Lonchura striata: one gene and its partners. The protein of the gene in region 1 purifies or fractionates together with the protein of each later gene. This does not show direct contact. Links are inferred from orthologs where the notes say so. Each region holds a gene or a part of one and is shown in the gene's direction. Other genes may lie near its edges. The genes, in order: EED, MTF2 and PHF19.

Evidence for each region.
Region 2: the proteins of EED (region 1) and MTF2 purify together in Homo sapiens (affinity purification with mass spectrometry; 3 studies listed by BioGRID and IntAct, with this or other methods). This does not show direct contact. The link is inferred for Lonchura striata from reciprocal best matches to the Homo sapiens genes EED and MTF2.
Region 3: the proteins of EED (region 1) and PHF19 purify together in Homo sapiens (affinity purification with mass spectrometry; 8 studies listed by BioGRID and IntAct, counting the BioPlex papers as one, with this or other methods). This does not show direct contact. The link is inferred for Lonchura striata from reciprocal best matches to the Homo sapiens genes EED and PHF19.

What each region holds. Positions count from the first base shown.
Region 1 is NC_134604.1:34,842,843-34,852,411, reverse strand, and holds the start of EED (polycomb protein EED), read left to right. Parts: upstream 1-3,813; 5' UTR 3,814-3,833; coding exon 3,834-3,950; intron 3,951-6,739; coding exon 6,740-6,892; intron 6,893-9,569. UniProt on the Homo sapiens protein: Polycomb group (PcG) protein. Component of the PRC2/EED-EZH2 complex, which methylates 'Lys-9' and 'Lys-27' of histone H3, leading to transcriptional repression of the affected target gene.
Region 2 is NC_134611.1:20,715,042-20,724,610, forward strand, and holds the start of MTF2 (metal-response element-binding transcription factor 2), read left to right. Parts: upstream 1-5,368; 5' UTR 5,369-5,530; coding exon 5,531-5,535; intron 5,536-5,875; exon of another isoform or gene 5,876-5,926; intron 5,927-9,569. UniProt on the Homo sapiens protein: Polycomb group (PcG) protein that specifically binds histone H3 trimethylated at 'Lys-36' (H3K36me3) and recruits the PRC2 complex, thus enhancing PRC2 H3K27me3 methylation activity.
Region 3 is NC_134624.1:9,392,834-9,402,402, reverse strand, and holds the start of PHF19 (PHD finger protein 19), read left to right. Parts: upstream 1-4,594; coding exon 4,595-4,771; intron 4,772-5,039; coding exon 5,040-5,121; intron 5,122-5,223; coding exon 5,224-5,319; intron 5,320-5,397; coding exon 5,398-5,498; intron 5,499-5,610; coding exon 5,611-5,759; intron 5,760-6,025; coding exon 6,026-6,121; intron 6,122-6,300; coding exon 6,301-6,369; intron 6,370-6,820; coding exon 6,821-6,941; intron 6,942-7,355; coding exon 7,356-7,423; intron 7,424-7,512; coding exon 7,513-7,683; intron 7,684-7,761; coding exon 7,762-7,846; intron 7,847-8,073; coding exon 8,074-8,159; intron 8,160-8,256; coding exon 8,257-8,352; intron 8,353-8,633; coding exon 8,634-8,982; 3' UTR 8,983-9,569.

The sequences.
Region 1 (9,569 bases):
TAGTTGCCATGGCTATGTTTTCCTGACAAACCCACAATTTTAAAAATTACTTTTATCCAGTTAATTCAGTAGTTTTCATCTGTAGACACAGAAAAACCAATTAGTAACAATACTAAGAAACACTTTTTATAGAACAGATCCTGGTATCAGGTAATTTAGCTGTGGGGCTATCTCTGCACAGAGGTAAAATACTATGCTACCTAAGGCAGCATAGTACTGGGGCAGCACAAAGGCCAGGCCCCCTTTGTTAATGAAGGAGCTCTAAAGAGCCAGACTTAGATGCTTCACTGAGTAACAGGAGAGGCTGGAAGAAAACAGGTATTGCCTGGGCAAAATACCACTCCATGCTCCCTGTGTCAGTGGGAACAAGAAGCTTGTTATCAAGGACTCTACTCTTTGATGTCTGCCCACTAGCTCATTATTTCGTATATCCTCCATTCCCAGCACAGCACAGCCCCTTCATCTTTAAGTTGGCAAAATTAAGGGCTACCCACACAGTTAGAAACCCTGAGCTAATTCTATGACTCTTTCTTACATATCGTCTACTGCCTACTCTTGGAGACAAAAGTTCTCAGCCACCAGGAACAGCTGATTGTCAAAATCACCACTAGAAGAAGGCAGAAGGTATGTGGACTACCTGAAGCATATCAAGGAAGAAAGACACCAGGGGAGATGTCTTGCTAGACCTGCCACAAACAAAAGTGAGCTGGTCAAAGATGAGGCTGCAGCAAATACAAGATTGTAGAGCCGAAAATCTTGAGAGACATTAGCAGTGCAAATATTAGAATCACAACCCTGGACTTCAGGAAAGTAGATTTTGGCCTACTTGGGAATCTTTTTGGCAGGATCCAATTGCTATGGGGCTCAGGGCAGGTGGTTGATCTTCAAGGAGAAGCTCCTCTAAGAAATTAAAGAGCAGTCCATTCCAATATGCAGAAAACCAAGCAAGTGAGGCAGGAGACCAGTGGGGATATATTAGGAATTCCCAGCTGAACTCCAACACGACAAGGAAGTGTATGAAAAGTGGAAGCACAGATGGACTGCCCAAGAAGAATACAGAGACATTGCTTCAGTGTGTAGGGCTGGTGTTAGGAAAGCCAAAGCTCATCTGGGAGATGAAACCAGAGAGGCAAAAGTTGTCAGGAAAGGCCCCTATAGGTACAGTAGCAGCAAAAGGAAGGCTGAGGAACATATGGATCTGCTGCTCCATGGAGCAGGGGCAGACACAGTCACAAAGGACATGGAAAATGCAAAGGACACAAATTGAAGCATGTGAATTTCTGATTAATTACAACTTTAAAAAATGATTACCATGAGGGTAATTAAACACTGAACACAGAAGACCACAGTGGTTGCAAAATATCTTGTGTTGAAGGAATTCATAACTGGACTCAGTTAGGCCTTGAGGAACTGGCTTTAACCAGCAGGGGTTAGAGATGATGAGCTTTGGAGGTTCCTTCTAACCTCCAGGATCCCATGATTCTGTGAAGAAGCTTATCTGGTAGAGAATGAATGAAAAGTGTGAGACTGATTTACTTTCAACCCATATATATATAAAAGTATTTCAATGTCCCTGAATGATCCAGAAATATTGTGGTATGTATTAAAAAAACAACAATCCAAAATCAGACTATCTATTAAGACCCCATGTCTTCGATGCATTGCAGAGTTTTTTTTGACATTTGTTATTGCAATCCTGTGAGAACCCATATTTGGCAGAGTCTTTCAATTTATATTAAATCCAGCCTTCCAAGTACCCACCATCTGTTTTTAAGTACCATTAAATCACTACTTAAAACTGACTGCAAATTAAAAAAAAAATATATATTGTTCTCCTGTTTTCCTCTACATATTATATCAAGGGCCCTATTACTTCTTAGTTAATATGTGTATGGTATTTATGTATTATATGGTATTATACTAATTAAACAAATAATGAACTATAATATATTTTTTCCTAGTACCCTTCTGGGATACAAGAAGTGCTTCTCCCATAGCACTGTTGAGAAACTGAGGCAGAGAAAAGCATGGAGGCTATCCAAAAACAATCTCAGCAGAGCACAAATTGAAACAAATTCCCTGAACTTTCAAGCTTGTGTTTAACCACACAACTAATTCTTTAAATAGAAGCTAGATGAAATGTACTATGACATTTGGAAACTGGGTTCTCCTGGTACACCAGTCTTTCATGTCTTTCGAGAAAGTGCAAGAAAAGCAAGTGGTTTAGACTAAAAAGTGTCTACAGAGGGAAGCAGAGCTATCACCTCGAGGAGGAAGTTCCCCAGCACCTAGAAGATAGGAGAAGGCACAGACCTGCCAGGACAAAGCTGTTTATATAAGGGAGATGAACTGATTGATTCTGGGAGTGGGTGGGGAACCACACTGCATAATGGCCATGAAGCACAGGCTAGCTGAGGCTTCCACTTTCCTCATGAGCTGGTGAAATGTGGTGGACTTGAACGTGCAGCTCAGCTGGCACGTCTGGAGATGTCAGCTAACAGCTGCAGGACAAAGGGGAGCACTCTTCTCCCCAGTAGTTCAAGGGCTACAGGGAGAAGTTAAAAATTCTCTCTGCTGAAAACTTTGTGCCTCCCCTTCTTTCAAAAAATTTGCAGCACAGTCGTGATTTAGTCTTAATTACAAGACACCAGTCTAAAAGAATCCTGTTGTACTCTAGAAACAAGCCTGTATATTTTCCCACAAACACTTCTAACAAAACCTCAATCTTACAGCACAGACCTACACAGGGTTTTTACCTGTAAACTTACCACCTTTTGCTATATGTTGTGCAATGCCTCATTGGAGCCTACAGTCCTGCAGAACTGTTTATTGCTAAAAACACTATAGTACACACAGCATTTGAAGTATATCTCTTCCTCTTTATCTCTGAAGTTCCTGCGAGATTAAATTTTATATACAAGGCACGGCTCACTTCTGTCACTGCCCTCAAAGCTTTTTTTGAGACTGGAATGTTTCCCTCAGGGAGAAAAGACTTGTTTCTGCCTCTACAAGTATAGCAGATAAGATGATGTGCCTGTGGGCAGATTACTTTCCCCCTTTGTTAGAAGTTGTGTGGATTTTGTTTTTTCTTCATAATTATTATGCTCTGGGACCTGTGGTTTGCGAATAAATAAATTAACAAACAAAAACCTGCAAGTGCAGTTATTTAATTTATAGCTGCAGAAGGAGCTTGCCGGGGAGTACAGAAGTAGGAAGCAGAGAAGAGCCTTTCTCTCTTATCCGGAAACACTATTCGCAGGCTGAACGACTTTTGTGGGTTAAGAGAACACCAAAACAAAACAAACCAGAAAAAACCAACAAAACAACAACAACAACAAAACCACACCAAACCAAAAAGCCCGACCCAAGAGACCCTTTGGGCACAAGGGAAGTTGGTGAGAGAGGCAGAGCGGTGGGTATCACCCGCGGCGCACGGGGCTGTTTGTTTCTCCGCCACACGCGTGCTCGGGCTACAGGCAGCGCCGGCCAAGCGCCACCACGCCGCGACCACGCGGGCTCATTCGGCTCAGCCCCCAAGACGAGCGGGGTCCCTGCGGCCCGCTGAGCCCCGCAGGCGGCGGCGGGCGCTTTCCCAGCGGCGGCAAAGGCGCTTTCCCGGCGGCGGGAAAGGCGCTTTCCCGGCGGCGGGCGGTTTCCCGGCGGCGGGAAAGGCGCTTTCCCGGCGGCGGGGCGCTTTCCCGGCGGCGGGAAAGGCGCCGCTCCGCCGGCCCGGGGGCTCCAGCCCGGGCAGCGCGGCCGCTTTACGGCACAGCCGTTCGAACCTCCGCGTCCGCGCTTTGCGGCTGCGTGGCGGTGGGTGGGGGGCGGGGAAGATGTCTGAGCGGGGAGAAGCCCCGGCGGCGGCACCGGCGGGAGAGATGCCGGCGAAGAAGCAGAAGCTGAGCAGCGACGAGAACAGTAACCCCGGGGACATGTCCGGCGACGAGAACGTGAGGCCGGGCGAGCGGCAGGCGGCGCGGGCGCGGCGGCGCGGCGGGAGCGCGCGCGGCGGCGCGGGGCCTCGCGGCGGGGGCGGGCGGGAGCGCGCAGGAGGAGGAGGGGCCGCCCCGGGCCGCCGTGAGGGGACATCGCCCTCCGGGACCCCCCGGGTGGCTCCCGGGCCGGGGAGGGCGTGAGGGAGGAGAGGGAGAAGGGGTCTCGGCCCAGCCGTCCCGGCTCGGTGGCCGCCGGAGGGAGGCCCCGGTGGGAGAGACCGGGCAGGGTCTGGGGGAGAGGCGCCCGCTGTGCTTCCACGTGGGTGAAAGTGGATTTGCGGCCCAAGCTGTGAGCGGGCGCTGTCTCGAACTCTGCTTCCAAACGTCACACTCTTTTTTAAAATTTTCCCTGCAAACCAGCAGCATTTTCCATCTTTCTTGTAGTTTTGTATCGTGTGTCTTCACTGTCACGTTGTAGAGTAACATGCAGCACGAGTTTATGTGTGCAGCCTTTTGGTGAATGAAAAGTAGGAGATGGTGCTCAAACTACTGTCAGCAGAAGGCAGCGGGGATGGCGTCTATAATCTCTAAGTTAGGTGAAATTCTAGTGTTCAGAGCAAAGGTAATGTGATTGATGTAGAATAACTTTATACCTGAAAGGTAAACTTAATCTAAGGTATCGACCAGTCACTTTATGTAGTTACTGGTGTGGAGAGGGGTTGTGTAGTTACTCTGTGTGTTTTATAATGTGTAGAAGTTTCTTTTCTGCACTTATCCAGCTAGTGAGGGAACTGGACTACATCCTCCACAACGTTTGGAAGTGGTGCTTGTGAGGTGACAGGCAAGTTTGAGATGTTCCACACCGCTGCTCTTGTTTTTTTTTTTTTTTCATAGCTTAGCAGCATTTGTGGATCCAAATGTAATTTGGTGACATATGTTCAGGCTTAATTTGTTGTCAGTTGTAGGCTATCATGGAGTGTGGAATAGGTTGCCCCATCTCTGGAGGTGTTTAAGGCCAGGCTGGATGTGGCTCTGCACAGCTTGGTCTAGTGAAAGGTGTCCCTGCCTGTGGCAGTGGGCTGGACTAGATGATCTTTAAGGTCCCTTCCAATAGAAATCACTCTGATTATATGATTCTCTGATTCTCTTATGTGGGTTGCCTCAGTGGTGAAGGGATTCTTTTTCCAAGAGTTTGTTACTGGACTCCACAACTCCTGCAAGATGGGGGATTCGGTTTAAAAGTTGACATAGTTGTGTTGATTTGGAGAAAGGGTGTGTTTTGCTCCACAGGTGTCCCGCATGCAGGTTTGTTGGTTATGTGGTAGTTGCAGATACATGGTATAGCTGCACCACACCAGCTGCCTGGTGTTCTCACGTTGGCGGTATCTGTCTAGTCCAGAGAAAACTTCAGTCTTGTCAAGTATTAAAATTCTGACATGTGCACTTGGGAGATGAGAGTTGGACAAGCTCTGATTTTTTTTTTAGGGTAAAGGAGAAGAAACAGGAAAACTTAAAAAATGTTAAATTTGGTTATGAATATTAGTGGAGGGTTGGCTCTTTTAGGGGTCCAATGTGAAGGGAATTACTCCAGATTTGGGCAGTACACTTACGGGCTTTTGTGGTATCTTTCCTCCTTTTGTCCTCTGAATGTCCTGTTTTTCAGAGTTGTTGGACAAACAAAGGCTAGTACACCTCTTCAGGCTCCTGATAATACAGACATGAAACTGGGACAGAGAATGAATGCTTGGTGGGAATTGGTGTATTAATGTTTATAGTTGACCTCATTCCATATTCCTAGTGGAGTTCCTAGCGCAGCTTTGTGAATCTCCTACAGTGACAGGCTGTTCTCTGCCTCTGTCTCCCTTAGTTCAGCTCTAGAAATTACTTAGTCTAGCATGAGATGTTTTCCCCCCACTAGTCTGATGGAAAGTGAACTATCTTGCCAGAAAAAATGGGAAAAGTTGATTTTTAACAAGCTGAACGTACTCATTTGGAAACACAGGGTTGGCAGGTACAATGCAGATGAAGGTACTGTGCTCTGTGACGGGTGATACAGGGAAATGTCCTTTTAAACAGTGCCCTGCAGTCAGACCACACAGGAAATTGTAGTTTCTGCTGATTATCCAAAGCCAATTTAAAATCTCTCAGCAGCTAGATGGGGTGTTTTGTGTATTTGTGTTTTTTCAGTTTTCACCATTCTTATCTTACACTAATGGTTGGAGGGCAAATTGGATTAGTTAGCTGATCAGAATTTAGCTTTTAGTGGAAACAAGTGAGTATCTGTGGTACAGGGGGGAGAGGAGGAACTTTGTCTTCTGATGTTGATGCTGCCCCGCTGCAGAACCGTGCTGTGAGTGGTGCTGCTGAGAGTGCACAGAAGCCTCAGAATGGCTCGGTTCTTGGTAAGGTCAAGCCTCATGTTTTTTAAAAAACAACTATTCTTCAGTTCTTCAGAAGTACTCATTTCATCTGGATCAAAGATGTTTTCTAGGGGAAGCAGCTGCTTTATCTCTAGACATTTTCTTAAGAGCAGCTACCAGTATTCTGAAGAAACGTCACTAGATCACAGTTCATAGCTCTCCCTCTTGGATTAGTCCTCATGTGATTCATGTTCTGTTTCTAGAGAGGAATGCTATTATGCTGGCATTAGATTTAAATACATGAATCTAAATAACACCAAGGCCTGAGAGATCTGTTTGTATGAATGACAAGAAGTGAAAAGGCCAAGTGCTGCAAGATTAGTTGAATTTATGCAGCAATTATGATCTCTTTGTGACAGTCTATATAATTTTGGATGTTTTCAGGATGATGCTGTTAGTATTGAAAGTGGTACTAACACTGAACGCCCTGATACGCCAACAAACACTCCTAATGCACCAGGAAGAAAAAGCTGGGGGAAAGGAAAATGGAAGTCGAAGAAGTGCAAATATTCCTTCAAATGTGTAAATAGTCTAAAGGTAGGTATGCATGAGCTTCAGGGAATGCTTGGGCATCACTTACTGGCAGCAGTGTTAATGTTGGCTGTGAGACAGCGTCAAGCTAGAGACTTTTAAATATCTTTAAGCACTTATGTTCCATGCTGATTTGAAGCAGGTACCTTTCTTTCTTGGAATAGCGAAAGTTTTGAAGAAAAAAGATACTGAGAAATAGGAAACAGTAGATAGTGCTGAAGTTAACCTTGTTTTTGTACAGTTTGCAAAGTTTTGTGTGATGCTGTGATTATATATTTCATTGAAGCTGTAGATGATAAATATAAGAAGTTGGATAAACAAGTTGAACTAGAACAAAACCTGTGACAACTCCATGCAAAACACAGAACCTGCTCAGATGTCTCTGTGCTGATAAAAAACCCAAACAAATCAACCCAACAATCTTAAGAGTAGCTTTTTCCTCACACTTAACCAGATTAGGTATTTTCTGTGCTCTGGCAGTATCATAGCTACTTGTGCAGTGCAATTTGGTTAATTTATTGTGAGTGTTGGGATCATGTGTTAGCACCTGATTCAGGCAGTGTGTATCTTCCTGTGTAACACCTGATGGTTTTAAGATATGTGGATTGATGGTCTTTATTGCTTGTTCTGCTCTTTTAGCATAGTGCTGTTTTCTTCCGCACTGGTGACAGACTATGGTGGACTGAATGAGTTTTCTCATTCGTGACTATTTTACTCTGTCAGGATGTTCTTATTTTCCTGATTCCTCAGCCTCATGTGGGATATTTATGTGGCAAGATGGGAGTTATGGCAAACTCTGTGAGGATCTGTGTAGCTCAGCAGTGGATATTTTCTGCAGAATTGCTCTAAGAGTATTTTTTCATTCCCCTATGCTTAATTGGGGAGCTGTGGTGATGTGGCTCCTTTTCTGAGCTTTGTCTTCAGGCTGCCGTAGTGAAACACTGGGGTACTTGAGCGGGAGGGGATGAAAGGTTTGGAGCGTGGAAACCTTCTAAATGAGTTTTGCCACTGGAGAAACTGTGATACGAAGTTACACTGACAAAAGTATCTGGGAAACAAATTGATCTTATTGTGTTCTTGAAGTATAAAAATTGCCTCCAGACTTTTGAGGGTGTAGGAGGAAGGGAAGTTATTTCATTTCACCAAGGTAGGCAGCAGTTCCTGTGATTCGCGTGAATCGCCCCCACGGATGGTGCCATTTGTGGCTTCAAGTCATACTTCAAACACAGACATGGGCCTTTGGACACCCAAACTTTTTACAAGTTCTGAGCTTTGTTACTCGTACTTGTTTTCTGTCTGCAGACAAAGATGGTTAGTACTTCCCAAGTGTCTTCTGGGGAAACAAAACATTCCCTCACCCCAGTGTCAATCCAGACCCCACTGTAGGGTGATCCAAAAGACCAAGCTGTGAAACTAAGCAATCCCCGACTTCCTTGGATTTGGATCAGGATCTGGGAACAGATTCCTGTGCAAGTGGAATCAAGCTATGAGGGAGTAAATGTAGCATTTCAACTAAGTGGGGTATTTTTATTAGCTTTTCTCCCCATTTCTCTTTGGTCTGAAATCAATGGTAGTAATAAGAGATGTGCATGTTAAGACAAAGACCTAAGTAGCAGCCAAATTTGGTTATTTACTTCATGATTGAGGAAGCCTCTCTTCTTTTCCTTTTCCCAGTCTTCCATACTAACTTTGCAGGTACTCTGGAGAAAACTGTAATGATTGAATGTTGTATATAGGTTTAGAAAGACACTTGTGACTCTTTGAGTACTGTGTCATATATCTCCTAGTTTATATGTTTTTGAACTATGCTGTAAGATGCAGGTATTGAAGTTAATGAAGGATCTACATGATTTAAAGATCATAGAAATTAATGTTCTTTAGGTGTGTATAAATTACATGTTTTTCCACTTTTGCACTTTTGGTTTTCCCCTCTTATTTTGTTTTTTAGTTTTTTCTTTGGGGAAACAAATATAGCCATTACTGTCTGCTTTGAGTGTTAAATGATTATGACTCAGCCTGAAAAGCTCAGTGCTTGCTAAATACGCGTTTTAAACACTACTTTGGGAGTTATTTTGAATGAAATTTAAGCATCCGGAAAACAAAAATACAACTTGGAAAATGTCAGGAAATAAAAAAACCTGCCTTTATTCTTTATGGAGTAGTATGTTACTTATGAGATGTACTGAAAAATCTTTGCTTTCTGTGGGCTGAATGGAAATAGGGTTTATAAATGAGCATATACAGCTAGCACTGTTGCATATCCTCATCTATCTATATATATTTTGCTGATAAGTCTTTTGGCAGAAAACAGTGTATATTTTGCTTTGTTGTGCTGCCTTTAAAGCAATGCAATTATTTTCCCTACCTTTTACTTCTGCTTAAGGTGTGTGATTAAGATGTAAGCAGCTTGGTGTTGTCTCAGCTTCTATTTGTTGTCCCCTGACCTGGGAACCAGCATCCAATACCACGCAGAATTCTAGCTTGTTGGTGTGTAATGGAAACTAAATGTAACTAAACCCGCTGCCCACAATGGCTTACTTCCACTTCTGGGAACTGGAAATGCATGTGTGGGTTGTTGGTTCCCCACTGGCAGTGTGGGTGACAAAGATTTAAAGGCATTCATGCAGGTGATTATTTTTGCCATCGTAATGACTTCACTGTCTAAAACCAGGTCTGATCTTAC
Region 2 (9,569 bases), on another chromosome or scaffold:
GTCTTCAACTCAGAAAAAACAGTATTAGCAGTAAAAACACAGTAACTCATACATAAGCACTCTCAGCAAGGCCAAACCTAGTCCAACACATATTTTTCTCTCCTTCAGACTCACTCACTGTCTTCAGGTACAAAACATTGTTAATATAACTAAGATAGATATGAAACATAATCGCTTACAATAAAAGCCTTTCCTGCTCTTAACTAGCATACCCAGAGATGTTGTAAATAATGTAGAAACACTGTGTCTCAAGCTCTTACTATTTCTGTCCTTGAGTATCTCAGCCTACAACCAGATGGGTTTTTTTTTCTGCACAGTTACACATATGAGAACTGAGGGATTACTTCTTGTTCAGCCACTCCAGCAAAAAGAATTCAGCCATGGCAGGGTATGAACTACAACATAGGAATAACTAAGGGCTTATAGCATAATGATGTGAGCATTTAATAGCTTGTAAGTGCCTTGAATTATGGACTGTAGAGCATTTGAAGAACTATCTAGCCACCTACCAAGACTACTCAGTCATACAAAATCTTGGCTTATGTTTTACAACAAATTTCAACAAGGTTACACACCTGGAATAAAATTTAAAGTGAATGAAGCATTAAGGACCTTTTAAGTGTCAGCTTGTTTGACATTTTTTTCAAGCATCTGAATTGTCTGCTATTAGATGCAGAGCTAATAGGCAGAGTTGGTTGTTTTGTTTTTTTCTTAAAGTGTCTGTGGTGCTTTGAGAAACAGTAACAGAGAGAGCTTTAAAGAATAACTATAACATTGCTAAATGTTATTTTTTTGAAGGCAAACAACCCTCTAATGATTTTGAAGTCTAGATGTAGCTTAGTTCAAAGGCTAATATAGATTGCGATACAAAGAGATCATATACTAACCCGCACAGTAATTGCTGTTTAATATATGTATTGCAGAAGGGCTTTAGAGACTTAATAATAAAAAAATAGGACTGCAATACTCATAATACTCTATCTTAAAAAGTTAGCAGAGTTTTAAATATTAAAAATAAAAAAATAATTGCTTAGGATTAGTGGGGCAAGTATGTTGTTTTTCTATACATTGAATTTAACAGAAAACTTACTGGCTAAATTGTGTCAATAATGACAGTGAACACATTTAAGAGGGTATTTATAGTTTAAGATTTATCGGGCAAGATCATGACATTCACAAGAAGATGATGGAGTACAAGGCAGTTTTTTTCAGTATTTCCTGATCCTTGAGAAGGTAAAAAAGGAAGAAATGGCAAAGTGCTTGTACCAGGAAAAACATGGGTTTATGTGAAGACCAATGTAAAGGTATCTTACCAACAGTGATATTAATTTATTTCCCTCTCTATTGATGTTATATGAGAATGAAAAATTATTAATATTCTTGTTTATCTAGAAAAATATTAAATATGTTTATTTTTAAATGCTTTCAGTGCTGTTTTTATATCTGTAGCATAGAGAATAATTACGACAATTGTTAGCTAGCTGAAACATGATTAATACAAAATTCTTCATCTCTTACCAGTTGCCTATTTTTTACATTTTAAAATTGAAGATTATTTTCTGAGTTGAGCTCTTATAAATGCAGCATATGTGCATTGTCTTACTAATTAGTATGCTTATGTAAAAGTGGATGTACCATATTTATCTTGATTTAAGATAGGAAGATCCCAGATGAGCTTCCTTGCTGTTTTTGTGCTTAAACAATGCAGAGAAAATGCCCTGGGATCTAATTTTCCCTCCTTGCTGAATTGTGGTCATGACAACCATCTGTACAAGGATAAGCTTCACAGTATTGTCTTGTTCAAGGGTATCATTTTGATGTTATGTTGTGTGATACAATAAGGTAATGTATATAATACTGTGCAGCAGTTGGTGCTCTCATCTACATACACTGCTGACTTTCACTTTTGGTTTTTATGTGTTTTGGTTGGCTTGTTTAGTATTTATGTGGATATTGAGGCAACAAAAGTATAAAAACCAACTAACTTGCAAAAAATACATTAATGTTTGAGAGAAGGGCTAAGGGAAATACCATTGTTCTGACTCTTCAAATGTATCCACCTCTGCTGGGTACTGGGGAATTTACATGCTGAATATGAAATTTAGCTTTTCTCTGCTGTGCCAGCAAGGCAAGATACAATTTTTAAAATCCAACACTTTGCTTTTGCATGTCTTTATGGCAAGATATTGCCTAACAGTATATGGACAAATATAAACAGGTAAAGACAGTGCTAGGTTGTTATTATTTAGCTTCTTTCTAACACACAGCTATTTATAAGATGATGTGGAATAAAGCTGAATATACCTATTATTAAGCAGAATACAACAGATAATAAAAGTCTTTTTTTCTCCAAAACTTCTACACAAGAAAGCCCTTACTGACATTGCAGGTAAAGTAACTTAATTTGGCTTTGGTCACTCTGTGCATCAAAGTACAGACATAGTATATCTGGAATTGAAAACACACAAGGCAAGATTGCTTAAGCTGTATTTCAAAATACTTTTGAGATATTAGCAGAAGACAAAAAAGGAAGTTAAGAAAGTTCCTTCTAAAGGCATGACATACACTCTTGCCAAGTATGAACAGAAGAAATAACTGGATATTTTACTTACTACTTGCACTGAATACAAAACAGAGAAAGATTCTAACATGTTCCAAATCAGATTAATCATGCATGTCTCATAGTATAGTAACAGGAATGCTAGAAAAAGTTGTTTACACAATCTAAATTGCTAAACCCAGCAAATTTTGCTATTGTTGTTTATTTTTTTGCCCCACATGTCAGTCATTAACAAAGATCCTCCTTCTGCAAATATAGGTTTGCCAGTTTGAGCATTTTAAATTGAAACACCATTTGTAAAAGAGATTTTGCACATTTCCAGTAAGGTTTCCAACCTTGTAATACTCTGGTCAGGCTGTGCAGACGAATAATCAAATTTCTTGTCCTGGAATACAAGTTACTGAAGTGAAGTCACCTGTGTCTATGTACCCCTCAACCATTTGATTTACCTGATCTAGCAGATGGACTGGATGTGTAGGAGTCACACAACTTCTGCTCTGGAAAAGGGCTTGCCTGTCACATGGAAATTCAGTGACTTGCTGAAGTGATCACAAAGGATGTTATACTGTGAGTTACTAAATTAGGTCACTGGGGGATGAGGTGTCTATGTGGGAGTTATGGAGCTTGGAATCTTTCTAGCTACCAGTAGTAGGCGAGTTTAGAGGAAACAGAGTTTAGATTTTTTTTTTCCCTTAGTGATTGGCTATGAGCTCATATTGCTTTTCTTGGATATTATAGGAGAATTACATGGAACTAAGGCTGTGGTAAAATACTCATAGTCTGCTCTTTTTAGTAATAAGGCTAAAAGTAACAAGCTTTGGGGGTACATTATGGCCTAACTAATGCAATCCGTGTAATAGCAAACAAATAAATTTATCAAACCCTAATTATTCTTATAGAATGTAGGGATTCCTAGTTTGTTTTTGTGCTGCTCTCACATACTGCTATTCCAGCAGCAAACCCCAGCTTTGTGACAAGTGATGCTTTATGGGCAGGATGGAACCATGCAGCTCTGCAATTCAGTAATAAGTTCTGCAAACTCCTGCTGGGAACAGTATGTTAAGGGCAAGGAGTGTAGAGATGGCATGTCTTCCTTGTCACAAGATTTCATGTTGAGCTTTTCGGGGTTTTGGAGCTGGTGGTGAAACAATTTACATTATAGGTGACTGATTCTACTTCAAAAAATTATGATTAAATTAATTTTAAAGATACAGTAGGACAGCAGGCTAGAAATACCTTCCAAGTATGACACTGAAAAAGGAAACTGTGATGTAGCCAATTACTGCTGTTTAATCTGTTGCTGACTAGAAAGTTTGTTTTTTAACTTAGCTTAATACTGGTTCTCACACAACCATTGTGATTTAAAAACAATAATTTGTATATGGATATACATCAGATTGAGACTATTTCTTTTTCTCCAGCTGGCAACCCTTTGCCTTCAGCACCAGCAGTACCTGACTGCTGTTCACTGTACATGAAAATCTGTAAAGAGCAAATGGGGCCCTTTGTGTTGTCCAAGTCTGTTTTTAGCAGACCATCACAATTCCTGAACAGTATCTAGCTAGTGCATCCAAGGGAGAACTATCCCGTCAAATTTGTATTTAAAACAACTCTGAAAAAAGGATTTTGATTATAAATACTACTTTATTCTGACATAACTAGGAACTGGCCAGACTAAGCTGTACTCCAGTGGTCTGCCCAGGCTTCCCTCCCTGTGCCCTTTTCCAGGGATGACAAACTGCTCCAGTACCTTAGTTTCAGTTGCTTATCCCAAGAGGGAAGATGGCTTTGAGAACTTAGGCTGTTTGAGCAGGAGAGAGACTGGAATCCTAAATTCTCCATCCATTCTTCTGAGTTCAGCCATTCCTGAGTGACACCAGTGGGTGAAATCTGATCCAGGGCCGCTGGCACTCTGGTGTTGCACTGGGCAGAGCTGCACACAGCAAAGGCTGCTACAGGGCTAGGCCAAGCTTTGCAGTGTTTATAAACGTGGCATTGGGCCAATTGCTGTGCTTAACGATGCGGACTATAGACACTAGCCCAGTACTGGAGTCTGAACAACCACAAAACACAATGATGGAAAACAAAAAGGTATTTCCAGAACCAGATAACTGCTGGTGTTGGAAGGGACTTGTGGAGATCATCTAGTTAAATCTCCCTGCCAAGGCAGGGTCACCTAGAGCAGGCAACACAGAAACGTGTCCAGGTGGGTTTTGAATGAACCCAAAGGGAGACTCCATGAGTCCCTGTTCAGCCCGTTCCATTAGCTCAGCTAATACAGCTGCTGCTAACACCTGGAACTGAGGTTCAGCTCATCTCCTAAAATGGCAGCATCCCGATGTCGGCGCAGAGGAGCACACTGTGCATTCTGCAGCCTCCGGTACCGGGGCCGGGCCTGGCCAACCGCCGCGGCAAGAAGGCGGACCCGGGGTCATTCCAGACGGCAGGGCCGCCGCTCCAGGGCGGGATCTTTCCCCGGAGCCCGGCCGGGCGCTCCGCGGGGCCCGGGCCGCGCCGCATCGCCTCAGGTGCGGCGGGAACAATGAGCGCCCGGCCGCAGCGAGCCCGGCGGCGCGCACCGCTCCGCGCGGGCGCGCGCCTCAAATAGTCCCCCTTTGTTCACGGCGGCCGCGGCTCGGCTGCGCCCGTGTCCCTCCGCCGCGGCGCCCCGCGCCCGCCCCCGGCGCTGCCGGCGCAGGCGGGGCCGCCGGGGCGGGGCCGCGGCCCTTTGTGCTCCCAGAATGCACCAGCGCCTCCTCCGCGGGAAACAAAAATGGCGAGGGGCTGCGCTGGGGCCGGGCTGCCCGTGAGGCGGGTCTGACCGTCTCTCGCCGCCTTCCGCCTCGGGTCCGTGCCCGGGGGGCCCGCTGCGCGCGGACCGCCCGGCCGCACCGCGCCGCGCCGCCGGGGGAGGCTCCCGAGCTCGCCGATTTCCCTGTATGAGGCTGTTGGCACCACTGGGGAGACCGAATGAGGTGAGGGATGGGGGGGCGGCCGGGCCCGCGCGGTGGGGGGGGCGCGATCCCCGCAGGCCGGGCCGGCGGTGCCGCATCCCGGCCCCGCCGCATCCCGGCCCCGCGGCGGGGAGCGCGGCCAGGGGCCCGCTCCGGCGGGGAGCCCGAGGCCTGGGAGGGAGGGAGGGGGAGGGAGCTCCCGGGCGGCCGCCGGCAGGCGAATGTGAGGGGTCAGTGGTGCTCCTCGGTGACCAAAACAAAGGGAGGGAGGCAGCGGGCCGGTCGGCGGGGCCGGGGGCTGCAGCGGTGAGGTGCCATCAGCCTCGCGCCAGCTGTATTTTCGTCTTCTCCTTCAAGGATATTGTCCGAGTAGGCTGCGTTTGCTCGAGTGCGAAGAGAGCAGCACAAAGAGGTAGTGGTTTTCGTTGGTAACTTTGTGTTTGGGGCTTTTTTGTTTGTTTGGGATTTTCTTCTGTGGCTTTTTCTTTCTTCTTTTTTTTTTTTTTTTCTTTTGTTTATTTGAAGTGCCTCGCCTCTTAATTTCAGTGAGGTTTGACGATTTGGATGTGCACAGCAGGTTTTTAGTCCACTTAAATGTAGTAACTGTTGCTGGCTGAAAGGGTATGCAGTAATGCGTTTTCCTTTTTTTTGGTATTGAATTCTTTGGAAAGAATGGGCTGATACCTCTTGTAGTGAAAGAGAACAATATGGTTCTGTGCTGGATGCTCTGAACACTGATATTAGTGTTGAAATACCAAGGGTTGTCGTTCATCCATAGAGGATCAGGGTGCTATTAGAAGTAAAGGGCCTGCATAATTAAATGGAAGATTCTGCCAGGAAAGCAGTGTAGCATTATGGTTGTTTCTGGAATTTGTGATAGGCCTAGCTTATCATAACTTTGAAAGGTCAAACGCAGTAATGGATAATAACATGGCTTTCTCCTGACTTAATGTAAGGGAATGTGATCAATGATATACACTCAAACTGCCAAAAGTATGGGATAATAACAAAAAAGTTTCCCTCTTGTTTTTTTCCTTTTGATCTGTAATCGGGTGGGTAAAAGTTAACCTGGTAATGTTTGTCCTTTTTTTTTGGAGAGCTCAAATTACATTTAATTTGAAAGCATTTGAGATTAAAAGAAGAGGTGAAAATGTTTCATTTCTGTATTATTAGAACACAGGTTAATGAGTTCAGAGCTTTTCATTTAAAGGAGAATAAGGGAAAACAAAGATTGAACGTATGAAAGGAAATGCATAATACAGTGAAAATGAGAAGGGTCTTTGCAAGGAGCTACAAGCTGTGAAAAGTAGATCTGTGCTGAGAGTATAATGTAGTAATGTTTTCCACAGTTAACCCTTATTTTGTCAAATACACATGTGTGGCTTCTCAACAACTTGCCTTTTCTGTTCTGGAAAGAATTTAAAATCAGATCTAGACGCTTCTCATATGACTTAATATAGCTAATCAGCAGGGTATATCTATTTTTTTAATAGGTGAAAGAGACATGTATTGGTAGTTAGTATGAAGTTATGTTTGTCCTTCCCTGTACCAGGAGGTCAGGTAAAATTTATGAGAAGAGCAGCTGTAACAAATAAGTTCCAGTTAATTTCCTAGTGGACAGTGGACTTCAGTATTCCCTGGAGATGGATGTGAATTAATGTAGAGGCACTGAAGCATATTTTGTTCTCTTCATGTGAGTTGTAGAGAAGGAAGCTTGGAGATGTGACTAGAAGCCAGTATGAATCTTTGATTAGTTTGTGAATTGAACACATTTGTTGTGTGAGCGGCCACTGGCCTTGCTGCAGAGTTGGTTTCACCTTCTTCACAGGCCTTCCTTGCTGGAAATGGAGGGGAAGTGTGTCTTTGAGCAAAACACAACAGGAGAAGAATTATAAAACCACAGGTATGGCTGGAGAGATAATCTCCATGGAAGAGTGAAATCAAGGTGCTTAACATTCTTTGAGAGAAGGAGTGCTACTGATGAGAGCGTTCCTGATGACTCTGGACATACTTCATTAGCTAAATATCTTCACTTCTGTTTTAGATCTATTTATTTTTTTAATTCTTTGGAATGCTTATGGAGGTAGCTGTTCTTGCAGACTGACCTTAAAGAAGATAACTTATTATTTTGGTCAGCTCTGAAATCCTTTTTCTTTCCCACTTCTCCCAGAGCAAGGTAGCATATTGTCTGTTATTTCTTTCGTTGCTGGGGTGGGTGCTCACACTCCCTTAGGTCTGTTGTTGGAGGTACTGGATTTGGATACTGTAGAAACCCAAAAGGCAGTTGCTGTATTCACAGAGGTGCTGGGGATACAATTAAGTGGAATTTTGGTCGGAAAAGGTGTCTTGTGACCTTGTGACCCGGTACCATTGTTTTCTCCCTGTACCTTCATGTGCAAACACATGATCAACCCCAGACAAATGGCTCTTGCTGTACACAACTGCCCTGCCTTTCTTCCCTACCTACTAAATATGTTGTTTGGTAATGATCTTTTAAACTCTAACCCTTTCAGTGTTTATATCAAAGAAATTTAAAACACTTCTAGTTAGTTAAGATTTCTTGAGGGAGAATGTGAGCAAAAATAAAATCAGAAATGACTGTAGTATTATGAGCATGGGAGTACACTTACCCTGGTGACCATCTCTTTTTAACAGTATGCATCAACGTTATTAAGGACAGTAATTTCACAGGGTCAGAGAGCAAAACCACAGTATTCTATCTAGATGCTGTCTAACAAGTTTTGTGTCACAGTCAGTCACTTCCCCTGAGTCCTCTGGCTAAACTTCTTTCTGATATACAGCAGATTCATAGATAGACATAACTGCTAATCAGATTAATAGGCTGCGGGGCCTCACTTAGTTTTTATTACCAGTTTTTTATTTCTTAGAAGAAAAAGTTATTATTTTTGTCACTTAATGTGATGTATATACTTTTGAATGCATGGCTCTATTTTAATAACTCACAAATAAAAATATATTCCCTGATAACTAGAGAGTTCCCTAAAGAATCTAACCAGACAGAAGAATTCAGAGAAAGAAAATCATAGCCAAAATATAAGGCCCTTTGAAAGAATTAAAACCCTCACCAGAGCCCACCATCCTATTGGGATAGTAATGTGTTATGTGAAATCACATTTGATCATCGTGGGTACTGTAGGGTTGACTGGCTAAAGCTGAGAATAAGCAAATTACAATTTCTCATCTTACTGACAAGGAGCAGCTTATACAGAATGGTTACCCTGACATCATTGGTAGGACAAAGCTGTTCTGCCTTAAATGATATTTTAACCTCTATTCATGGTGGATTTATTAAGCTTTGCTGGAGTGGCCTATGAATTGGTTTGCTGCACATTTGAATGAACATGTGAACTTGACTCATGTAGGCCTGTGGGACCAGGCTGCTTTTAAGAGCACCAAGGAAACTATGTGATGTTCTTGTAGGGCTCTTCCTCATTATTACAGGTTGTGAAGAGCAGGGCTAATCCATAATGATTACAGAATTGTACATATTACAGCCATCTTTGGAAAGGGCTTAAGTGTTCAACCCAGAGAACCATGGGCTGGTTAGCTTCACTTGGTCTTTAGGGAAGGCACGAAGTCTTCCTGGAGGATGTTTCTGGATGCATGGAAAGGTGACTGGTAACAGTTGCCAAAAATATAAATCATGGCCTGAACAGCCTGACCATGTTCTGTGTTAAAAATGGCAGGGTTTTTGAACATGGGGAGAACCTCACCCAGCCTCAGTTTCAGCAAGGCTGAAGGGTGAGCTTGAACATGAACTTCATGAAATTCAACAGATAAGAAAGCAAAGTCCTGCATCTGAAGAGGGAACCCCAGGCTATGATTGGCTGGAGGTCAGCTTTGCAAGATTGTCTGGGGGTCTGACAGAAAGCAGAATATCAGCTAACACTGTGTCCTGTGAGCTAAGGCAAGTGGTCTCCTTAATAATAGAAGTAGAAGACTGAGGGGAAATGATTATTTCCTTCTACACAAAAGTCATTGGACAGCATCTCAGTAGAATGCTGTGTTTTGGTGCTACCACTGCAAGAGACATA
Region 3 (9,569 bases), on another chromosome or scaffold:
TCTGTCCACTTCCCTCAAACCTGCTTAGCTGGGAGAGCACTTCCAGGCTCTTCAACAGAGCCCACAGAGAGAGCTCGGTTAAAAAAAACAAAAAAAGAAAAACCAGATCCGGATCAAATCCACGCTGAATAAACAAACAGACGCGAAACCCGATGCCCGGCGCTCCTCCTTCCGAGGGCACAGCTGGCACAAAGCGGCCAAATCTCGGCCTGACCTGCTCCGGCAGCGTGCAGGCACCCCCGGGCCCGGGCTCCCTTCCGAGGCGTTTCCATGCCGGGAAGGGCTCCGGGGAACGGGGCTGCCCGGCGGGGCCCGCCCGGAGCCGGGGCAATGCCCGGAGCCGCTCCTCCCGGAACCCGCTCGGTTTTCAGCGCCCACACCTTCGGTAAGGAAGCGGCTGCCGCTGGAAGGAGCTGGAATCGGGGCGATGTCGAGAGTTCCCCGATCCAGCAATTCGTTTCGGTGCGGTTTTGGATGTAGAAAAATCAGGGAGAATTTGAGGGAGTTGCATCAGCAGCATTTGCTCCGTGTTTAATGGCCAGGTTGGCAAAGAGTCAAGGCTCCTACAGCTAAGGAGGTCTGAAACAGTCAAGGACAAGCTTTGGAGGGAATTAATTTTTTTCTTAATAGACTAATAAAGCTGGAAAAATAACAAGAGGCAAATTTTTGGCTTATAAACCCTTGTTTGGGACAGAGGAAGAACTCGAACCTCGCACAGGATGGCTTGAGGTGGTTGTGTTGGCCAGGTGGCTCCAGTGGAGAGGTGGTCGGGTTGAGACCCTCGGAGCAGAGGGAAAAGAGGGGGAATGAGCAACCGGTGGCAGCCACTTCTTTAGTCAGGGATGTGTCCCACGGCACCGGCCGCTCCGGTTTGCCCCGGGGAGCCGCGCTGGGTCAGCCCCGGGGCCAGCGGGAGCCGCTCCCGTCTCCACGCCAGGCCTGGAGCTCCCGGGAGCGCCGTGTTTGGGTTTCCATTCAATATTCCTCGGCTTCGGTCTCCAAGGCTACACGCCAACATCCAACCCCTCCTCCCACGCCTGTTTTCAAAGAAAGAAAAACACTGTGAAAAGAGGCTGCGACGATCGCTGGGCAGTTTTCAAAGCAGAGGCAGCGCTGGGAGCTGCTCTCCCCGCACACTCCGCAGGCTCTGCTCCAGCCCGGGCCGTGATTCCCGGCTGCTCCATCCTTTTCCAAGAGGGAAAGCACCTCCCCCTCGGCAAGTGCAGGGTGTGGGGAGCAAGTAAAAGTTTTTAAGGAAAAAATGGGAGTTTGGAATAGTTACCTACACGGGGTTTTATTCAAATCCTTCTGCAAAAACTGGGGGTTTTTTGGGAATTCCATAGCGGGGAGGGAGCTGGGAGTCCTGCCCTGGAGCCTGTGCTGGCCCCGCTCCTTGGCCGAGGAGGGTGTGGATTGCTGCCCTCAGCTTTGCACCACTTTTGGGGCTCTCGTTCATTTCTGTTCCCTTGCTTACAGAATAATCTGCTTTTACCGGCCGGGTACTCCTGCCCTGCTCCAGCACAGACATCGGGGCAGCCTTGGGTGCCAAACCAGTGCCCAGCTCCTCCAGGTGCTGTCACAGCCCCAGCACCTGCCAGGGACCGCGATCCCACAGTGCCAAAGAAATGGGATAGCCAAGGGATAGCTAGGCGGGTGTGCAGAGGAGGAAGAGGAGGACGAAGAGAAGGAAAAAGAGGAGAAAGAAAGATGAGGAGGAGGAAGAGAGAGGCAGCACCCAGTAGCTCACTGCAGTGAGATCTGAGGCCACGCTTGCTGGGTGCTGGGACAGAAGCACCTGCAAAGAAACCAGAGTTAAATCTGGTTTATGTTGCTATAATTATGTTGCTTCATTCCGGTTAGAAAATACGGGATACATCTCAAATGCTGGTTTGTTTGTTTGTTTGCGTGGTTTTTTTTTCATTTTTGTTGCACACTCTTGTCCCGACGCGATGTTCCCGTGCTCTCTCTCCGCGTGGAAGGCTTTCAGTCAGGCTCTCCCTGCGTACACCCCCGGTGAACTCGATCCAGCCTTTGATTTCCGCGTCACACCATCCGCATTCCTGCGGCACGCTGCAAGCAGCAGCCGCGGGGGCCGGGAGGAGGGTGCTGCTCCCCCGGTGCCCCCGGGACAGGCTGCGACAGGAACGCTGTCCCGGGAGTGCAGCAATCTCTGGGATTCGGGGCAAACGCAGCAGCCCCGAGGCACGGAGCGAGGAGCGGGGCTCCTCCGAGGGTTGTGGGCAGAGTTATTTTAGTCCTGAGGTGACTCACACTTATCCCGGTGTGACTCACGGGGAGCTGGGGCCCGGGGCTGGTTAGGGGCACGGCACGGCACGGCACGGCACGCTTGGCACACACGGCTTTCCTCACGCAGCCCCGCACAGGGAGCAGCAGCAGAGCGGCCGTGCCGGACCCGCGGCTCAGGAAATCGCTTTTCCCGTCCCTCCGCAGGTGCAGCATCACAGGGAGCGCTCTGACACCCGCGTTTTGTGGGAATTTGGTGAAATAAATGGTTCCCGGGTGCCGGGTGCTGGAAGGGAGGCTCAGCCCGTGCCGTGCCGCTCGCCGCTGGCTCCCGGGAGCTGCTCGCTCGCAGCTCCGGTTTGTGACACGTCTGAGCCCCAGCTCCCGGTGCCGCATCCATCACGGACAGCAAAAGCCGCAGGGACTCTGCTCGCGCTTGGCCCAGACCCGGCACTGGGAATCAGCTCTCCTATGGCCCGAGCAGCCTGGAAAACATTGCTTTTCCAGGATCGCTTTCCAACAAACAGCAAATCCTACAGATTTCTTCTTGGCACCGACCGAAGCATTTTTGCAGCGATTGATTTTCTCTCTGAGATTCAGAGAAAGGCTGCAAGGCTGCTCCCGCTTCCAGGAATCCCGGCGAGCACAGGTCGTTCCCTCTGGGGACAATGCTCCGCGGGCACTGCCCGCATCCCTTCCCCTGCCCGCCCCCCGCCCCGGGGCACCGGGGGAAGCTCTGTCCCGGCTGCAGCCGCGGCTCGGAGGGGACAGGCGGGGAGGTCCCGCGTGTGGCAGAGGGTGACGGTGCCTCTCCACGGGCAGTGGGTGCGTGGCCGACCCTGGGTGCCCCTCCTGGACCCAGGGATGCCGCCTGCGCTCTCCGGAGCACCGGGCCGGCCCGAGCAGGGATGCGCCGAGCCGGGATGTGCCCCGCTCGGTTCCTATCGATGCCAATCCATGCCGGTCGGTCGGTGCCGGTCCGTGTCACGCCAGTGGGTCGGTGCCAGCCCGCTCCGGTTCGATCCGTGCCGTGCCGCTCGGTCGCTCGGTGCCGCTGGGTGCCGTGCGGTGCCGGTGGGTGCCGCGGGGATGCGCTGCGCCGCGGTGGGACCGGAGCCGTGGGAGGCGGCGGGGGCGGCCCCGCTAATTGCATAACCGGGACGTCAATGCCGGCGGGAGCGCGGGGGAAGCGCGGGAAGATGGCGCCCCGCGCCCGGCCCCCGCCGCGCCCCGCGGCTCCCGGGCCCCGCGCCCCGCGCGCCCGCTGAGCGCGCCGGGGCTCCGCGGTAAGGGCGGCGCCGCCCCGGCGGGCACCGGGCGGGACGGGCGGGACGGGCGGGCGGACGGCGCCGCGGCCGCCTTTGAATGAGCCAATGGCGGCGGGGCCGCGGCGCCGCTCGGGGCTGCCCGCCGCCACCCCCGGCAGGTGCCACCGGGGCTCGGGCAGCGGCCGGGCGCTCCCGCTCGTGTCCGCGGGGCCGGGGGGGGAGAGCGGCGGGAGCCCCGGGGGCGCGGAGCCGCGGGACACCCGGGAAGGGAGCGGCGGGGGAGCGGGGGGAAGCGCGGGGGGCTCCGGGGAGCGGAGCCGCCGCCGCGCTCGGGCGCGCTCCCACGCGGGAGCCGGCGAGTGCCGCTGCCGGGACGTGTTGCGGATCGGGAGCGCCGGGCTGTGCCGGGAGCGGGATGGCTCTGCCCGTCCCGGGGCTCTCGGGGAGCGGGAGAGTCCTCGTGGATGGCAGAGCCGGGCAGAGGGGGCTCGTGTCGCCGGACACGCGTGGTGCCACGAGGCCACGTGTGTGGCCGTGACGGGAGCGCCAAGGGGAGAAAAATCCCTTTCAAGTCGTTTCCGTGGTGTCCTTCGGGATCGCAGCTCTGCTGTGGGTGATTTCTTTGCCTGCTGCCCCCCAAACCTCGTGGCGGTGACATTTGGCCGCCTGGGTTCGCTCGCGGTGGGTGGTGCTGGCACATCCCTGCTCCTGCAGCAGTCCCGGTGGTTTGGGAGCCCGCAAAACTGCGGGAAATGGTGGTTTTAAAATCACAGTACATTTAAAGCTTTTATTCCTTATGTGCCCCTTCCCAAAACTGAACCATGCGGACCTGTGGCGTGTCCCAGCGCTGTGGGAGCCTGCCAGGGGTTAATTCCCTCTTGTTCGCCAGTAGCAAAGATTTGGCTGCTCCCTGGATTTCGTGGAAAGGAACCGTCTCATCGGCTCTGTTTTGCAGTGTCCTGGGCCCCTGCTGGTGGGGCAGCCTCATTCCTCCCAGGCAAAACGCTCAGGGATGCTGCGGCGGGCTGATGTGGTGCCGTGCCGAGCGGTGACAGCGTGTGTGTCCCCTGCAGGCTCTGCTGATGGAGACCACGGAGCTGAAGCCGCTGGGCCGGGACGTGTACGGCCGTGTCCCGCCGGCAGCGGGCTCGGCGCGGCGCGGCAGCGGCTGCCGGGAGCTGATGGTCCGGCTCACCGAGGGGCAGTACGTGCTGTGCCGCTGGACAGACGGGCTCTACTACCTCGGCAAGATCAAGAGGGTAACGCGGGCACCCCCGGGGGAACGGGAGAACCCGAAGAGGTGCCAGCGCCAGCGGAGCCGGTGCCGTTTCCCGGCCCAGTTCGTGGCCTGGGCTGCGGTGCGTCCTCGGTCAGCAGGGCGTTTTGGGTTGGCATCCTGCCCCGGGTGTCACGCCCCAAACCTGGCTGCCCGCAGCCCCGAGAGACAGCATCAGGCACCAAGGAAAAGAGGGAAGTGCTGGGAATGGGAGCTGACCCACAGCGGTTCTTCCTGCTCTCTTCTGGCAGGTGAGCGGCTCCAAGCAGAGCTGCCTCGTCACGTTTGAGGATAACTCCAAGTACTGGGTCCTCTGGAAGGACATCCAGCATGGTGAGTGTCGCCCCAGCCTCCCTTTCCCGCTGCCATGCTGCGGGACCCTTCCCAGCAGCACGGGGATGTGGCCGTGCCACCTCTGTCACCCTGGTCCCACAGCCGGCGTCCCGGGGGAGGAGCCCAAGTGCAGCATCTGCCTGGGGAAGAAGTCGGGCCCCAGGAACGAAATCCTCATCTGCGGGAAGTGCGGGCTGGGTGAGTGTGGGTGTGCCACCCCGGGCCCTGCCGTGCCCGCCCCAGGCGAGGCTGGGCTGATGCCGAGCCCTGCCGCAGGTTACCACCAGCAGTGCCACATCCCGGTGGCGAGCGGCGGCGAGGGCCCGCTGGGGACGCCGTGGTTCTGCCGCCGCTGCATTTTTGCCCTGGCCGTGCGGGTGAGTGGGGCTGCCCCGTGCTCCCGGCTCCGTGCGCCGCCCGTCCCCGGCACGGCGGGGCAGGACGGGCTCCCCGGGGGCTGTGCTGAGCCCGGCCCTGGCTCTCCCACAGAAAGGGGGTGCCCTGAAGAAAGGAGCCATTGCCAGGACGCTGCAAGCCGTGAAGATGGTGCTGTCCTACAACCCCGAGCTGCTGGAGTGGGACTCCCCGCACCGCACCAACCAGCAGCAGTGCTACTGCTACTGCGGCGGCCCCGGAGAGTAAGGCTGGCCTGTGTCACCATTGGCTTCGTGGGGAAAGGAAGGTGGGATCAGGGTGGGCATGTTTGATCCCTGATGTGCAGGGCACTGCCCTGAGGCCAGTGGTTCTGCTCCCCACGCTGCCTCTGCTATCTGGGTCTCTGTTTGCACAGAAACACCAGTGAGGGACGCAGTTCTCTCCCTGCCTGGGGCTCTGTGTCTGGGAGGGGACGGGGGCAGTGGCTGCCACATGCTGCCCTCACTGTCACCGTTCTGTCCCTGCCCAGGTGGTACCTGAAGATGCTGCAGTGCTACCGCTGCCGGCAGTGGTTCCACGAAGCCTGCACCCAGTGCCTCAGTGACCCCATGATGTTCGGAGACCGGTACGGCCCTTCTGGCCCTGGCTGTGTGTCCCTGATCCATCTGACACCAGCACGGGTCAGGCCCTGCCCCACAGAGCCCACTCCTCCTGGCCTTGCTGTCACCGTTGGCACTGTCCCACCTGGGCCCTGCACAGCTGTGTGTGATCCTCGCTCCCAGCATTTTCCCTGATGTTTTCCAGGTTCTACGTGTTTTTCTGCTCTGTGTGCAACCAGGGGCCGGAATACATCAAGCGCCTGCCCCTGCGATGGTGAGAAACGGGCCCTGCCTCCTTTGGGATGTGCCCGGGTGGCTCTGGGATGTGACACCAGGCTGGCTGCTCCCTGCAAGTGCTCAGGACCAGGCTGGACAGGGCTTGGAGCAACCTAGTTTAGTGGGAGGTGTCCCTGCCCATGGCAGGGGACAGGACTGGACGATTTTGAAGCCCCCTTCCAACACAAAGCATTCTAGGATTGTGTGTTTGGGTTTTCCCCCAGCTGCAGGCAGTGTGCCACCTCTCCCCAAAGCTGAAGGGATGCTGTCCTGGCTGTGGCATCTGCTCAGAAACATCTCTGGGCTGGGTTGCCTTCCCTGTGAAGAGTGGGAAGGTTCCAGTGGTGGGTTTGGGAGGCCCTGGGAGCTGTAGTGGCGCTGGCAGAACAGGGCATGGTGGTTACACCATCCTGCCAGGGCTGCTGACCCTGTGCCCCCCTTTGCTGCAGGGTGGACATCGTCCATCTTGCCCTCTACAACCTGGGTGTGCAGAGCAAGAAGAAATACTTTGACTTTGAGGAGATCTTGGCCTTCGTGAACCACCACTGGGACCTGCTGCAGCTCGGGAAGGTACAAACACCCCCTGGGCTTGTGCTGGAGAGCAGCCATGGGAGTGAGAAATGTCACCCCAGCTCGTGCAGCACTCAGCACGGCACCTCCTGCTCCAGAGGAGCTTAATCCCCTTCCTCTGCGCTGGGATTTCCCTCGTTGGAGTGTCAGACCTGACACCTCTCCCAGCTGGGAGAAGCACTCGCACCGAGGCGTGCTGGAAACCCATCCCCGGGGAGGACGGGGCGGCCCCGGGGGCAGCCCCACCACACCCGGGTGGCTCTGGCCGAGCTTTGGCTCCCTCCTTGCCTGCCTCCCTCCCTCCCCGGCCGCGGGCAGGAGGCGAAAGCCGGAGTTCGGCTTCCCCCGTCTGTTTGGAGTTGGCATAAGCGCAGCGGGCGCTGAGCCCTGCCTGCCCCCCGTCCTGTCCCGCAGCTCACGGGCACCCCGATCTCCGAGCGCGGCCCCCACCTCCTCAACGCCCTCAACAGCTACAAGAGCAGGTGAGGCGGGGTGGGCACGGCCGCAGCCGGCCCTGCGGGATGCTCCGTGCCCGCCTGCCTGAGGGCTGCCCCCTCCCCTCGCCGCCCAGGTTTCTGTGCGGCAAGGAGATCAAAAAGAAGAAATGCATCTTCCGCCTGCGCATCCGCGTCCCCCCGAACCCCCCCAGCAAGGTGCTGCCGGAGAAAGCCCCCGGCGAGGGCGACAGCGGCTCCTGTGAGCTGAAGAAGAAGGGGAAGAGCAAATACGCCCATAAGGACGGGTGAGTGCCCCGCTGCCCCGCACAGCCCCGCAGCAGCAGCAGCGCCCTGCCCGCGCCCACCGCACGCCCTGTTTGCAGCCTCCTGCCGCGGCAGCTGCAGCAGCAGAAGCGGCGAGCGCGGCGCAAGAGGGCCAAGTTCCTGCTGGAGGATGCCATTCCCAGCGTGAGTCCCTCGCCCCCCTTCTCTCTGGCACTGCCCAGCCCTGGGGCTGCCGCAGGGTGGGGACAGCTCCTGTCCCCCGCTTTGGGAAGTGTCCCTTGCCCAGGCCACTCCCCGGGGCAGCGGGGCCTGGGAAGGAGCGCGGTGGCCCCGGGCAGAGGGTGCCAGGGTTGGGGTGTGGGCAGCACCCCCGCGCCAGGCAGTGAGGAGTGAGCTCGTTTTTGTGACAGAGTGACTTCACCTCGGCCTGGAGCACCAACCACCACCTGGCCAGCATCTTCGACTTCACGCTGGATGAGATCCAGAGCCTGAAAAGGTCCGTGCAGCCAGACCAGCGCTCTGGGGGCCAGGGGTGCTGCTTGTGCCAGGCTGGGGGCCATGCTGCATCCCAGCTGTCCCATCCCTATCCACAGTGCCAGCTCAGGACAGACTTTCCTGTCGGATGTGGACTCCACAGATGCCACCAGCACCTCGGGCTCGGCCACCACGAGCCTCTCCTACGAGTCCAGGTGAGGACTGTGCCCCTTGCCCCCTTCTGGAGGGGTCCTGGTGGCATGGCCAGGGGGCTGAGGGCTTGTGTCTCCCCTCTTCATGTCCCACCCTGGGGAGCTTTTCCTGCCTGTGCTCCAGAATGGGCTGGGGGTCCCAGAGTGACACTTGCTGGGGGCATAGGGTCAAAGCCATCAGTCCTTGCTGGGCTCCCCCAAATTCCTGCCTCCCTCCAGAAGCCAGCACGGGGAGGAACCTTTTGGGTGCTGCCCTCACTCGTGCCCTGTGCCCTCCCCGGCAGCCGCAGGACCGTGGGCAGCCGCAAGCGCAAGCTGGCGGTGCCAGCCTACGCCTCGGGGGCCAAGCGGAGAGGGGGCGAGCTGGGCGGGCGCCCGGCCGCGGCCACCCCCGAGGGCAGCGAGGCGGCGGCCGGCCCCGAGCGCCCCGACGACGGCATCGACAGCCACACCTTCGAGAGCATCAGCGAGGACGACTCCTCGCTCTCCCACCTCAAGTCGTCCATCAGCAGCTACTTCGGGGCCGCGGGCCGGCTGGTGTGCGGGGAGAAGTACCAGGTGCTGGCGCGGCGGGTGACGCTGGAGGGGAAGGTGCAGTACCTGGTGGAGTGGGAAGGCACGACCCCCTACTGAACCCCGCCAGCCCCGAACCCTCTCCCGGAGCCAGAGCGGAGGAGATCGGGCTGCTGGGGAAGCCCGTGGGGCGCAGGAGAGGTGCTGGTCCCTCCCCCCGGTGGAGGCAGCGCCCGGGCAGGGCTGCCCAGGAACGAAACCTGAAGCCCTGGCACTCTGGTTTTTTTTTTTAATGTTAACGATTTTTAGTTCCTTGGCTGCCTTTATGCAGAGCGTGGCCCAGCCGTGCCCTCCTGATGGAGCCCAGTGGTGCTCAGAGCAGGGTGGGGGCCTGGCCTTTCTAGAAGGGTTCCCCTGGCACAGCTGGAGCAGCTGCTTGGGGGGCACCCCACACCCAGCTCACACTGAGGGACCCCAGCCTGTGCCTGGCACAGCCCGGCTCATCCCGCTGCCCCAGCCTGCCTGAGCAGCCTCGAGGGGGTCCTGCTGCCAAAACACAAACCCCTCCTGATCCCTGGGCTCTCGCAGCTCGTCCCTGTGCCCACGGGAAACTGGGACAGCTCTTGGGGTTTTTCACCTCATCCAGAATCCATTCATTAAAGGAATGTGGTTTGTTTTATATGAGAGGAAAATGCCCCAAAATCAGC